3 linked regions of the Alligator mississippiensis genome follow. The protein of the gene in region 1 purifies or fractionates together with the protein of each later gene. This does not show direct contact. Links are inferred from orthologs where the notes say so. Each region holds a gene or a part of one and is shown in the gene's direction. Other genes may lie near its edges.

Region 1 (3,742 bases):
GCCCTACTTTCTCAGCTTTTCTCAGTCCTTTTGTATATCCTGGCGATGATATTGGTACTGGCTATGCAGTAGTCACTGATACCGAGGGGGACCGCCTCTGCAGAAGCTTTCCACCTTGCCCTGAGGGTGGCGAGACTTAGGCTCTTGCCGGTCATTGGTAGCAGTGAGTTTCTCAGTTGAGGGCCTTTCACCATAAACACCCTTGCCTTTGGCTCTGAGAAGTTCACCCGAGGTTCCTGCTCGTCATCCTCACCATGGCTGCTTCATGACCTGGAACGGGAAGTGATGATGTAAAACGCAACTATCTCTATAACTTTGGACTTCGTCTACTTCCATATGCCCTTCTGCTTCTTCCACCGCTCCTGGGAGACGGCCAACACCCTTTAAATAAAACCCTCCGGCCAAAAATGCCACCGAGTCCTCTGAAACCCTGCCTCTCTCCCCCCGAGTACTGACACCACCCTGCTGTGCAGGGCCGTCCTTCGGGTACGGCGCGACCGCTCTGAGCCCCGGAGAGACTGCGGCCCCCACTGCGGGACCTGCCTGGAGCTGGCGGCTCAGCCCCGCGCCGCGGGAGAAGCACGGAGACCTCTCCTCGTTGTGGGGGTACCACGGCCCTGCCACCCTGCTAGGCTCGGCTCTGCTCCTGTGTCACCCTCAGCGCTTCCTTCTCACCCACGGCCCCGTCTGCCCACCGCTCTCTCTGTAGGCCCAAGGTCCGGTTTGACTTCTCCTCTTGATTCGGGACCACTTCGCCCCCCGACTCGACGGCCGTCTCCTGCTCTCGGCCGGCCTCTCGCGCCCACCGACCCTGCATCACCGCTCAGCAGGAAGAAGTCCCCATACCCCAGTGTCACCCCCCCGTCCCTTTCTTCCCCCCACTCCCTTGCTGGTGCTGGGCAGCTCCTTGGACCCCTGCCCCGGGGAGGGGGCAGGGGGAGCTTCCTTGTCGTCCAAGATTGGGGGGAAAAAAGCACATCCTGTTCCCCTTCCACCCTGCTGCGCGGTGCCAGGCCCGCCCGCATCCTCCCGGGCTCTGCCTCCGCCTCCGCCCTGCTCCTTCCTTTGCCCGCCCCCGCCGCTCAGAGCCCGGCTGCAGCCGCTGCAGCGCCCGTGCGAGCGAGCGAGCCAGCGAGGCAGGGAGGCGCCTGGAGCCCGCGGGGCCGCAGGTAACGGGGCCGGGGGGATGCATCCCGGGGCCGGGGTTCGCATGCGGGTCCTGCGCCGAGCACCGCGGGCTGGCGGGCGCGGCCCGGGCGGCGGCGCGGGCTGGAGGTGACCTTCCCGCGGCGCGGCAGGGCCCGGGAGGCCTCGCTGCCCTGACTCAGCCCCTGCGCCGGGCCCGCGGGGATGCTCCCCGCGCCTCTCCATCGGCCTCAGGCCCCAGGGAGCCTCAGCCCGCGCTTCTCCCGGGGGCCAGGCCGGGACACACGTTTCGGGGCCTGCGTAGCCCTGGAGGGGCTCATCCAGGTGGCACAAAGGTCTGTCCATCGCGTGGCCGCCGGAGCCCCCCTCACTTCTGCACGCGTAGCCTCGCCTTCGCCGTTCCCGGGTCCGGAGGGAGCAAAGGTCGCCGCGGCTCCACCCGCAGCGCCGGCCCAGCCGTGGTGTCGGCCGGTCTGACCCCTCGGTTTAGCCCGTCCGGGCCACCGCCGCCGCGTGAGAGACGCGGGCGAATCGGGCCGAGCGAGTCCTCGCCAGAGCGGGAGAGAGACCAGAAGCGAACGCGGGCAGCGCGCCCTGGTTGCGCGTGCCGTTCAGCATCGTGTCTTGGTTAATGTTAATCTGGGGCAAGGCGCCTGTCGGAGGTGAAGGGGTGCAGGTCGTAGCCGTGTTGGTCTAAGGACACGGGCGGACAAGGTTCTTTGGGTGAATCTCAAATCTTTTATTCGCCCAGCTTCAATAGTTGGAAAAAAATATTTAAGCAAGCTTTCGGGTTCGCCAGGCCGAGTCAGAGGTGAATTCCCTTTCTGTGGGGCAGGCACCGCAGTGGGGAGCAGCAAGCGAGTCTGCCTCTGCCTAGCAGCAGGTGGGCTGGAGATGTACCTTGCAGAGGGACTAAATCAGTGCCCTCGCCCCTCTGCCTAGTCACAGCCTGGCTTGGACCCACTCTTTCCAGTGGTGGTAAGGCGGCTCAGCCAACATGGTCCCTGGCTATTTGTTAAAGCAAAAAACCACAGCTCCAAGCGGAGCAGAATTCACCGACGCTGTTGGGTTCGGCCTCCCGGGATAGCAGTAAAACCGAGTCCATGTTGGATTTGATGTTGCCCAACAACGGCAGAAGCCATGTAATTCAGGTTGTATTGGAGGATCACAGAAAATTTTGTCTTCTCATTCATGTGACATTTTTCAGACTTTCTCTGAAGACCGACTTGTACACTGCAGACCTCTCAAAAATGCCACCCGGAACAAGAAAAAACAAACTTCATGCAACTCCCTACTTGTTCCTTTCATTTTTACCCATCCTTCTCTGTACTCTTTCTCTGTCGTCTTCCTACTCTTCTGTCTGATTGTATGGTGGGGCCTGAACGGGGTGGCCCGGATCAGTCTGTTGCTATGGCAGCCGGCGATGTCCCCGGTTCAGGGGGTGACTTTCCTGTAGGAGGAAATCTGCAGGATCAAAGCAGCGAGAAGGCAAATCCCAAACAGGAATTTTGGTGATTTAGCAAATGAAACGCACGCTCATATAAGATTAAATATGATAAATGCTTTTTTCTCCTGGGAAAGGAATCAGCAAAACAATATATGCTGGAGGACCAACATTTAATGGGTCCACTCCTCTGATGTGGGTGTGTGTAGATGACATGGTAGACATCGTATGGCATAAAGAGTGCCTGGTGCCCTTGTCAGGGTCTCACTGCTACCCCCTGTGTCTTGATACCTGGTGGCATTGTGCTACACTGGTGCTGTAACAGTGTATCTCCTAGGCTAGCTGGGCCTATTATTCCACTGTCTACCAGACTGGGGCAGGGAGAATTGTATCCCTGGCTTTGGTTTAATATATATCTTAAATCATACAAATAAACAGGAAAAGGCTTCAGTGAAATGAAGTCTGTATCTACTGCATTTTCACCTGTAGAATCAAGAGCAGACACTTTAAAAAAATTTCCTTAATTCCCTAAACACAGATCATTAAACTAGGTTTATACATATGTGCTAAAGGTCTCCTAAAAATGTTTATTATTTGATAAATCCTAAAGAGAGAGGAACCACTAGTATGTGGAATACATCAGTATTTAAGGCCTGTTTATTTGGTCTGTCATGTGTTGGTTTGGGGTGGTTTAAAACATGTGTGCTAGCTCAGGAAACTACCAGTGAGCCCCTGCAAACTGTTTCATGAAGTCCGTGGGGTGCTGCGGGGGCTCAGGAGCATGCTTGGGTACAACAGCTGGCTGGCTTCAGGCTTAAGTTGGAAGTCACTGTGGTGACTTAGTTATATGGCTTCAGTGGAGTTGTACAATTGTGCAGAGTTTATGCTTCAGCACTTAATTCATGTGTAAGGCAAAGCGTTCACAAAGTGTGTACCTAGCTCCAGATTCTGGAGAACCTGATGTGTGGGTTTAGTTGAAGACATCATTTCAGTGGTAGTGCTGGTGTTTTAAGTTGACCACATGCAGAAGTCGTGTCAGGATTTGGCCCATAGGGCCTGATCAATACCTGAACAGACTTGTTTTTTGGACAGGAGCTGTAGTTTGAGGCACTGATGGCTGTTTTCCGTGTAGATCGTTTTTCCATAGGAACA
Region 2 (3,742 bases), on another chromosome or scaffold:
CAGAAAGACCCACAAGGGGAGTTAGGGTCTAGATCCAAAAGTTTCAGGGGCAGAGGGATGAATTTCCTCCTCTTGAGATCAAGGGGATTTTTCCTGAGACTGCCCCAGTTGCAGCAAGGGAAGTTAGGTTAAATATGGGGTGGAACATTTTCTGAAATGTTCTAGTGCTTTATTTTCCCATGGGAGATTTTGCATTTCTAAAAATTCATTGTTTCATAATGTTTATTAGTAACAGTGAATGGATGCCAATACAATATTAGGCAAGTTTGGCAGTTTCAAAGTTGTAACTAATCTTTTTCAGGCGATTATCCCTAGGAAGTGCGCGAGAGGGTACATATGTTTTACTGATTTGTAAACAGGAGGGTAAATACACTGGCATAATAATCCAAACTAAAACCCAAATTAGGAATTCACCTAATTGGCTGTGCAGGTCGAATCAAACCCAAAGCTCAGCCCATCGTGCACAGTTTTTAGCGTGTACCAAAATTAGCGTGTCAGTTTTCAGCACCTTTGTTTTTTATCTTAAATTTAAACAAACAATGTCAGGGAAGTACATGCTATTGCACCTCATCTTTACATTTTTACAAGTATTCCAATAAAAATAACTTATTTCCACAAAGTTTTGAATTTGTTTGAACATAACATTTAATCCACATTAAGTGTGCTCTGTTTCATTTTTTCCAATAATCAAATATTTCAGTTCGAATACTTGTGGATACTGGGACATAAAATAAACAAGGGGTACTTTTTTAGTTTTAAGTCAAGCAAACATGCTACATCAGATCACGCTCCATTTAGGGCATTGGAAAACTTTCAAAATTTCCCAAAAACCTGCACTGCTGGTTAGATATTAGGGAAAAAAGCCTCTCTCAGGAGAAGGGTAGTGACACGTGGGAACAGGTTGCCAGAGAAGTGGTGGCATCTCCTCCACCCTCAGAAGTGTTTAAGTCCCGGCTCCACAAAGCCTTGGCTGGGACGAGACAGCCGGGGAGGTGCTGCTCGGAGCAGGACTAGACGCGACCTCCCGCGTTTCGAGGAGTCTCCAGCAAACGGTCCAGTCGCCTGCTCGGGGCCCGGCCCTCCCAGCAGCCGCTGAACTTCAGCGCAGCTCCGCAGGGCGATGCTGTGTCCCCCCACCCCCGCCCCCGAGCCCGAGCCCCGCTCACCCGCCGTGCTCCGGCACCGGCACCACGGTGCGCACGGGCTGCACGACGCCCCCCGCGGGGCCGCGGGAGAAGTTGGCCAGCGCCGTCTCCAGCGGGGCCACCAGATCGCTGGCGCGCTGCAGGAGCCGCTCCACCTCCGCCGCGCCCAGGAACAGCGGCGGGTCCTGGCTCATGGTGGCGTCGGCTGCACAAACCAAGCGCGGCCCCGGGCTGCACCCTAAGTAGCCCCCCAGCTGGGGAGTGGGGGGTGGGCCCACGGCGGTGGGCGAGGCTCGGAACTGACGCATGCGCGCATCTGGGCATGCCGGACGTGCCCAAGGAGCCGCGGTAGGGGGCGCTCGGCCTTCTTCCTCCCGTCTCACCCGCGGAGCAGTAGAGTCCAGGGCACTGTGGCTAGAGAGGTGGAGCGACGCGGTGTATGCTGGGGAGGCGGAGTCGTTCTCCTGTTACCGTCATCTTTGTTTTTTCCCTGTGGCACCGCGGGCCGAGGGGTGTGGAGAGTATGGAGGGGTTACTGGCCTTAACCCGCTCCTTCTCGGTGCGTACGGCGGGATAGGGGAGTGCAGTGGGCCGGGGACGGAAGGAGGAGGAGCCGCTGCTGCCTTTCGGGCCGGGAGACGGTGCGACGCGGCCTGACGGTGGGGCAGGGGGCGCTGGGGCGGGGGCAGCTGCGAGCTCCCTGCGGCCGAGGTAGGGGTAGGACCCCCTGGCGAGTCGCGTGGAGCCGAGCCCGGCTGGGTGTCGGGCCGGGCCGGGCCGGGGCCGCGCGGCTGAAGGTCACCCGCGGCGGGAGGCGGCCGAGGACTGCGGGGCGGGGCCGAGCGTGTGGCGGGGAGGTTGCTCCTTGCCTGCCCATGTCACCCCCGTGTAGTGGCCCCGGAGAACGGGGGGTGACCGCTTCTAGCTGCGCGTGCCCTTCCCCATATTTGCTGCCACTGTGGCCCTGACAGGCAGCTACAGGTGTGACTGAACTACAAAGTAGTAGTAGGAAAAAGCCTGAAGTTTTAAATGATGTCTGCAATCCCCTTCACTGTGATAAAACCTACCCTGAAGGTCTATTTGAGGTGGAGCCGCTGTGGCAGAATCCCTATCAGGGGTCCGTGTCACGAGGAATATGTAGGGACCTTCTGCCAGAGTCTCTGCCCGGAGATCCTGTTAGGGCAACAGTAATATTTGGTTCAGTTTGCTTCTTCTCTTCAGCTTTCAGTCACGGTGGCAGCAAGCGTTGCTTCACAGCCTGAAAAGTGGAGAAATAAAGTTGAGCCTGAAAGTTTTCAGGATTTTGAAGAAGATTGGCGGGGGGAGGGAGGGGGTGAAAAATGTCAATTTTGAAATTTTGGTCCTGCTTGTTAGCTCAGGGTAGGTTCTTTAAGATGGATTGGGAGGCTCTCCTCCTTGTTTGTCATCAGTTTGGAGACCTTTCAATTAGGAGCGCACTGATAAAGATTTTTTGGGCCCATACTGATGGGTGATTGTTGACCAGCCCTATTGGCCGATACTAGAAGTGCACTGTTAGAGATTTTGGGAGCTGATACCAATAGCGGGGTTTTGGTTTTTTTATAAGAAGGTATATCAGCCAATACTGATCCGATTTCTGATACAGCTGTGTCCAGCTGGTAAGTCTGTTGTGGTGGAAGGGGAGTGGCGCTGGGGCAGGGTGAAGAACAGAGCTGTGGCTTGTTGGGGGGGGAGGGGGGTGGGGGGGGAAGAGGAGGCAGCTCCTGTTGCTGTATGCGCACCCCAGCAGGGCATGGGGGAGAGGTATGTACCCTGGATCTGTGTAGGGCAGGGTGGGGCCAGGCTTCACTCAGGGTGGGCAGCAATGGCACTGGGACAGGGACTGTGAGATTCATACGTTCGTAGATGTTAGGGTTGGAAGGGACCTCAATAGATCATCGAGTCCGACCCCCTGCATAGGCAGGAAAGAGTGCTGGGTTCAGATGACCCCAGCCAGATGGTTATCTAACCTCCTCTTGAAGACCCCCAGGGTAGGGGAGAGCACCACCTCCCTTGGGAGCCCATTCCAGACCTTGGCCACTCAAACTGTGAAGAAGTTCTTCCTAATGTCCAGTCTAAATCTGCTCTCTGTTACCTTATGGCCATTATTTCTTGTAACCCCCAGGGGCGCCTTGGTGAGTAGAGCTTCACCAATTCCCTTCTGTGCCCCCATGATGAATTTATAGGCAGCCACAAGGTCGCCTCTCAACCTTCTCTTGCAGAGGCTGAAAAGGTCCAGGTGCCCTCCTTGTAGGGCTTGGCCTGCAAGCCCCAACCCACCCCGAGCACAGTCTAGCCCAGCCTCCCTCTCCCCCCCCCCCCCCTCCAGATCTAGGGCATATGTCCCTCCCATCCCCCGTGCCCTCCCAGGGTATACACAGTGGTGGGAGCCACCCCCCTAGGTCCCTAGGTGAGCTGTGCCTCCATCCCACACCCTGCCGCTGCTGCACTCCCTCCTTCTCTGTGGAGGCCTTGATCTGCACCCCCCCCCACACCCCTTCCGTCCCCTTCCACCACAAGAGACTTACCAGCTGTACGCAGCTCTCCAAGCTGCGGGGCTGCGCTCCTTGCTGCCTGCA
Region 3 (3,742 bases), on another chromosome or scaffold:
CGCCAGTCGCCCATCCATGTGGCTAGCCCGGTAGTATGCCTGACCCTGGAAGTAGAGGGCGTAGGCCTGGGCTACCAACCGGCCTCGTAGTCCCAAGGCCAGCCGCCCTTCTAAATAGCGCAATGCACTGTTGACACCTGTAGCTGGCAAGGCTAAGAGCAGCCACCGCAAGAGGAGGCTGGCAAAGCGGCGGCCACGGCATCGCACCACAGCCCGGGCCAAGCGCCCGTCGAGTTGGGCAACATAGAGCGAGAGGAAGGTGCGGCTGGCCAGAGCAGCTGTGTGCAGAGCCAGGAGCCCAGCCTCAGGGCTCAGGGGGCCTGACAGGGCCAGTGCCAGGAGGCGCCTCAGACGTCGCCCAAAGACCGCATCCACAGCTGCCGGGGCCTTCCGCTCTGAGGGCCAGGAGGGCAAGGGGTCCTCTGGGTCACCAGGGGGTGTTTCCTGGTTGCCGCTGGAGTCCTCCCAGCCACGGGGGGGCATCCCCTGGGCAGCAGGGGTCACCTCCTGGCCACCAGGGGGTGTCTGGCCAGACTTGGAGTCTTCCAAACCACCAGGGGGTCTCTTCTGGCCACATCGAAAATCCTCCCAGCCACCAGGGGGCTCCCCAGCGCGCCGGTGGTGGTATAGGCGCCAAGTGGCCACAGCTGCAGCGGTGGTGGCTAAGGCCACAGCAGCCCCTGTAGCTGCGAGCTGGAGCCGAGCCCGGGGCATGGCAGGTGCCATGGCAGGAGGGCCCTGGGCTCCCACCCTATGCTGGCTACTACCCCGTAGGGCGCGTACTGAGCTGTCAGGGCCTGCCGGTTCCGCCCTTATCCCACAATGCCCTGCCCCCGGGCCACGGGGGCGGGGGAGCAGAAGGGAGGGCCCTGCGGCCTCCCCGCCCCTGTTGACCACAGAGACGCCCCCTTTAACCATAGAGACACCGACCCGGACCACAGAGACGCGGCTTTTCTAAAGGCGCTATGGCTCCGCGGGAGGCATCGAAGCCTCCGGGATCGGCGGTTCAAGGCTTGCGGGGAAAATATGTTCCCATCCCCCCACCGGATTTAGAGCGACTCCGGATTTGCGCCCCAATACAACCGAAAACGGAAAGGGGGGGCGGGATAACGCGGAGTGACTCTGGATTGAGCCTCGTGGGTTTCCGTCTGTGGGGAAACTTTTGCCCGAGGATCCGGGAGTCTGAGGTCAGAGTCCCACCCCCGGGAAAACGTGGCGCGGGGCGGGGAGTAAAAGAGCATAAGGTGCGGGTGTGAGGCCACTTTCGCCTCCATAGGTGTCATAGTGACCTTACTGCCGCTTCATTTAAGTGCTTCCGGTAGGGGTGGTGCTTCCGGCGGGATGACAACAGCGCTTCTAGTAGCATTGGTGGCTGGTGGGGGTGGGGCTTCTCTCCACTTCCTATTTCTGGGCGGGGGGCGTGGCCCGGTGTGGAGGTTGTTGATGCTGTTGGGGATCCTGCTGGGTGAGTGGTGTTGCGCGGTGGGTGGGGCAGGGGTCTGCTGCTACTGGGTTCTGAGCCCTCGGGGCTGCCCCATAGTAAGCCTCGGGCTGGGGGGGGGCTTGCAGGGGGCTGAGTCCCGCCTCTTTGACAGGTGCTTTGGGGGCTGCCACACACACTCAACCGTGGGAGAGCCTGCTGACTGGTTGAGCCTCTGGGGCAGGGGCTGGCAAAATGCGGCCTGCGAGGCCGTTCTATCTGGCCCACGTGGCCCCTAAAAATTTTAGAAAATTAATATTTGTCTGCCCCTGGCTGCCTGTCATGTGGCCCTTGATGGCTTGTCAAAACAGTAAGTGGCCCTCTGCCCAAAATAATTGCCTGCCCCTGCTCTGAGGGGTTGCGGTGGGGTAGGGGTTGCCAGAGATAAAGCTCCTGAGCCATGACGGTGCTGCAATACTGAGCCATAGGCAGTTGCTGCATAATGAGCCATCTAGGGGCTGCTCTGAAATGAGCCATTCAGGACTTCCAGTGGGGCAGAGGCTGCCATGCAGTGAGCTGTTAGGACAGCTGGGGGTGGGTACTACAGCAATGGTGGCTGCCAGCCCCCAAGTCTTGGGGGAGTCATAAACAGTGAGCCATTCAGAGGGGTGTATGGGGTAGGGGCTGCCAGATAGTGAGTAAGCAGGGGGTGTTGCAGTGGGAGGCCTGTCATGTGGGGTTGTATTGGTCCAGGGGCTGCTAGATAATGAGCTGTGGGGGGAGGTGCTGCATTGAAGGGATGGGCCTGCCACATCAGAAGACTTGGGTGGGAGGCAGGGGAGCATCCCAGGATGGTGGGGCCTGGCTACCCTGAGTCCTCCAAGTCCCCCCTCCCTTAAGCTGGGGCTAGCACCCCAACTCTTTTCCCTCTTCCCCCCACCCCCCCCCAACAAAAATTCTGGACCCATGGTGGGAGCCCAGGTGTCTGATTTCTGCCTGGGAGGATTGAGGGAGACTCTGTACCCAGACTCCTGGGTTCTCTGCAGGGAGAGAGGAGGGGGGGAGGCTGGGAGCCTGAGGGTGTCCCTGGCCTTCTGGCTAATATGGGGGGCTAGTGCTGCCCCCCCAGAACCCCTTCCAGCACCGCCATGAGCCTGCAGTGGACTGCTGTGGCCACCTTCCTCTATGCTGAGGTCTTTGCTGTGCTGCTGCTCTGTGTTCCCTTCATCTCTGCAACCAGGTGAGATTCCCCCCCCCTCCCCCACACCTGGGTTCTCTGGGGGTGGTATGGGTCAGGGGGGGGCAGGGCTGGGAGCTGGGGTTCTCTGTGTGGGGAAAGAAGCCTAGGGGTAAGAACCCAGACACCTGGGTTCCCTGGATGCAGGTAGTGGGCCTGGGCAATGGGACTGGGAGCCTGAACATCTGGGTTCTCTTGGGGTTGGGGGGGGGGGGGGGGTTTAAAGCAGGGTGGGGCTGCATTCCCTAGCTGGGTAGTGGAGCTAGGATCAGGAGGGGTTGGAAGCCCAAATATCTGGGTTCTCAGAGGGGTCCATGGGTTGGAGCAGGGGTGGGGTGATCCAGAGGCACACTGCTGCTCTTCTAGCTCTGGAGAACCCAGGCATCTGGGCCTGAGTCCCCTCCTTCTCTTCCCCCTAGGTGGCAGAAAATCTTCAGGTCCCGCTTAGTGAGGGCCGTGGTGACCTATGGGAACACCTTCTTCGTAGTTCTCATTGTAATCCTCATTCTGCTTCTAATTGGTAAGTGGTCCTGTGAGGTCACATGGGGGGGTGGGAGGGGCTGTGAGGTCATGGGAGATGTGCTTTTTGTAGGGTTAGCATGCAGTTATTAGTAGTCTTCTACCAGTGGGGTCCCAGAGGTCTGGGTCTAGGCAGGAAGTAGGGGTTGGATGTCGGAGCTGGGATTGTGTTCTCCTGGCCTAAGTCTCTGGGCTGGGCTAGAGCAGGGGACCTTCCCACCAGGGGGTGAGGTGCTACAAGTCGGGAGTAAAAGGCACAGGCAGGGGTGGAGGGCTGTGGGCTGGGGAGTGAGGGTCACCGGCAGGGCTGGGAAGTGCAGGTCAGGAGTTGGGGGAGGGGGCTTGAGTCCGAAAAGGTTGAGAACCACTGTTTTAGGGGGTACCTTAGCCCTGCCCCCTCCCATGCAGGGCAGAGCCTGGTTTCTCCTGCCTTCAAACCCTGCCCTTGGCTGCAACTTAACCCTTTTTGAGGGCCAATGGCCTGGAATCTCCCCATGGTGGGGCACCTGGTGGGGCATTCAAGGGGGGTCTGGGAGTTCTGGAGGGGTTAATCCCTTGCATGCACC

Evidence for each region.
Region 2: the proteins of VDAC1 (region 1) and cytochrome b-c1 complex subunit 2, mitochondrial fractionate together in Homo sapiens (co-fractionation; 3 studies listed by BioGRID, with this or other methods). This does not show direct contact. The link is inferred for Alligator mississippiensis from reciprocal best matches to the Homo sapiens genes VDAC1 and UQCRC2.
Region 3: the proteins of VDAC1 (region 1) and BCAP31 purify together in Homo sapiens (affinity purification with western blotting; 3 studies listed by BioGRID, with this or other methods). This does not show direct contact. The link is inferred for Alligator mississippiensis from reciprocal best matches to the Homo sapiens genes VDAC1 and BCAP31.

The regions. Positions count from the first base shown.
Region 1 is NC_081832.1:69,787,475-69,791,216, reverse strand, and holds the start of VDAC1 (voltage-dependent anion-selective channel protein 1), read left to right. Parts: upstream 1-1,085; 5' UTR 1,086-1,169; intron 1,170-3,742. UniProt on the Homo sapiens protein: Non-selective voltage-gated ion channel that mediates the transport of anions and cations through the mitochondrion outer membrane and plasma membrane.
Region 2 is NC_081836.1:46,316,954-46,320,695, forward strand, and holds the start of cytochrome b-c1 complex subunit 2, mitochondrial, read left to right. Parts: upstream 1-1,581; 5' UTR 1,582-1,584; coding exon 1,585-1,704; intron 1,705-3,742. Other genes in the region: CRYM (ketimine reductase mu-crystallin), read right to left, coding at 1,167-1,339. UniProt on the Homo sapiens protein: Component of the ubiquinol-cytochrome c oxidoreductase, a multisubunit transmembrane complex that is part of the mitochondrial electron transport chain which drives oxidative phosphorylation.
Region 3 is NC_081831.1:28,920,133-28,923,874, reverse strand, and holds the start of BCAP31 (B-cell receptor-associated protein 31), read left to right. Parts: upstream 1-1,372; 5' UTR 1,373-1,465; intron 1,466-2,535; 5' UTR 2,536-2,568; coding exon 2,569-2,660; intron 2,661-3,076; coding exon 3,077-3,177; intron 3,178-3,742. Other genes in the region: ABCD1 (ATP-binding cassette sub-family D member 1), read right to left, coding at 1-918. UniProt on the Homo sapiens protein: Functions as a chaperone protein. Is one of the most abundant endoplasmic reticulum (ER) proteins.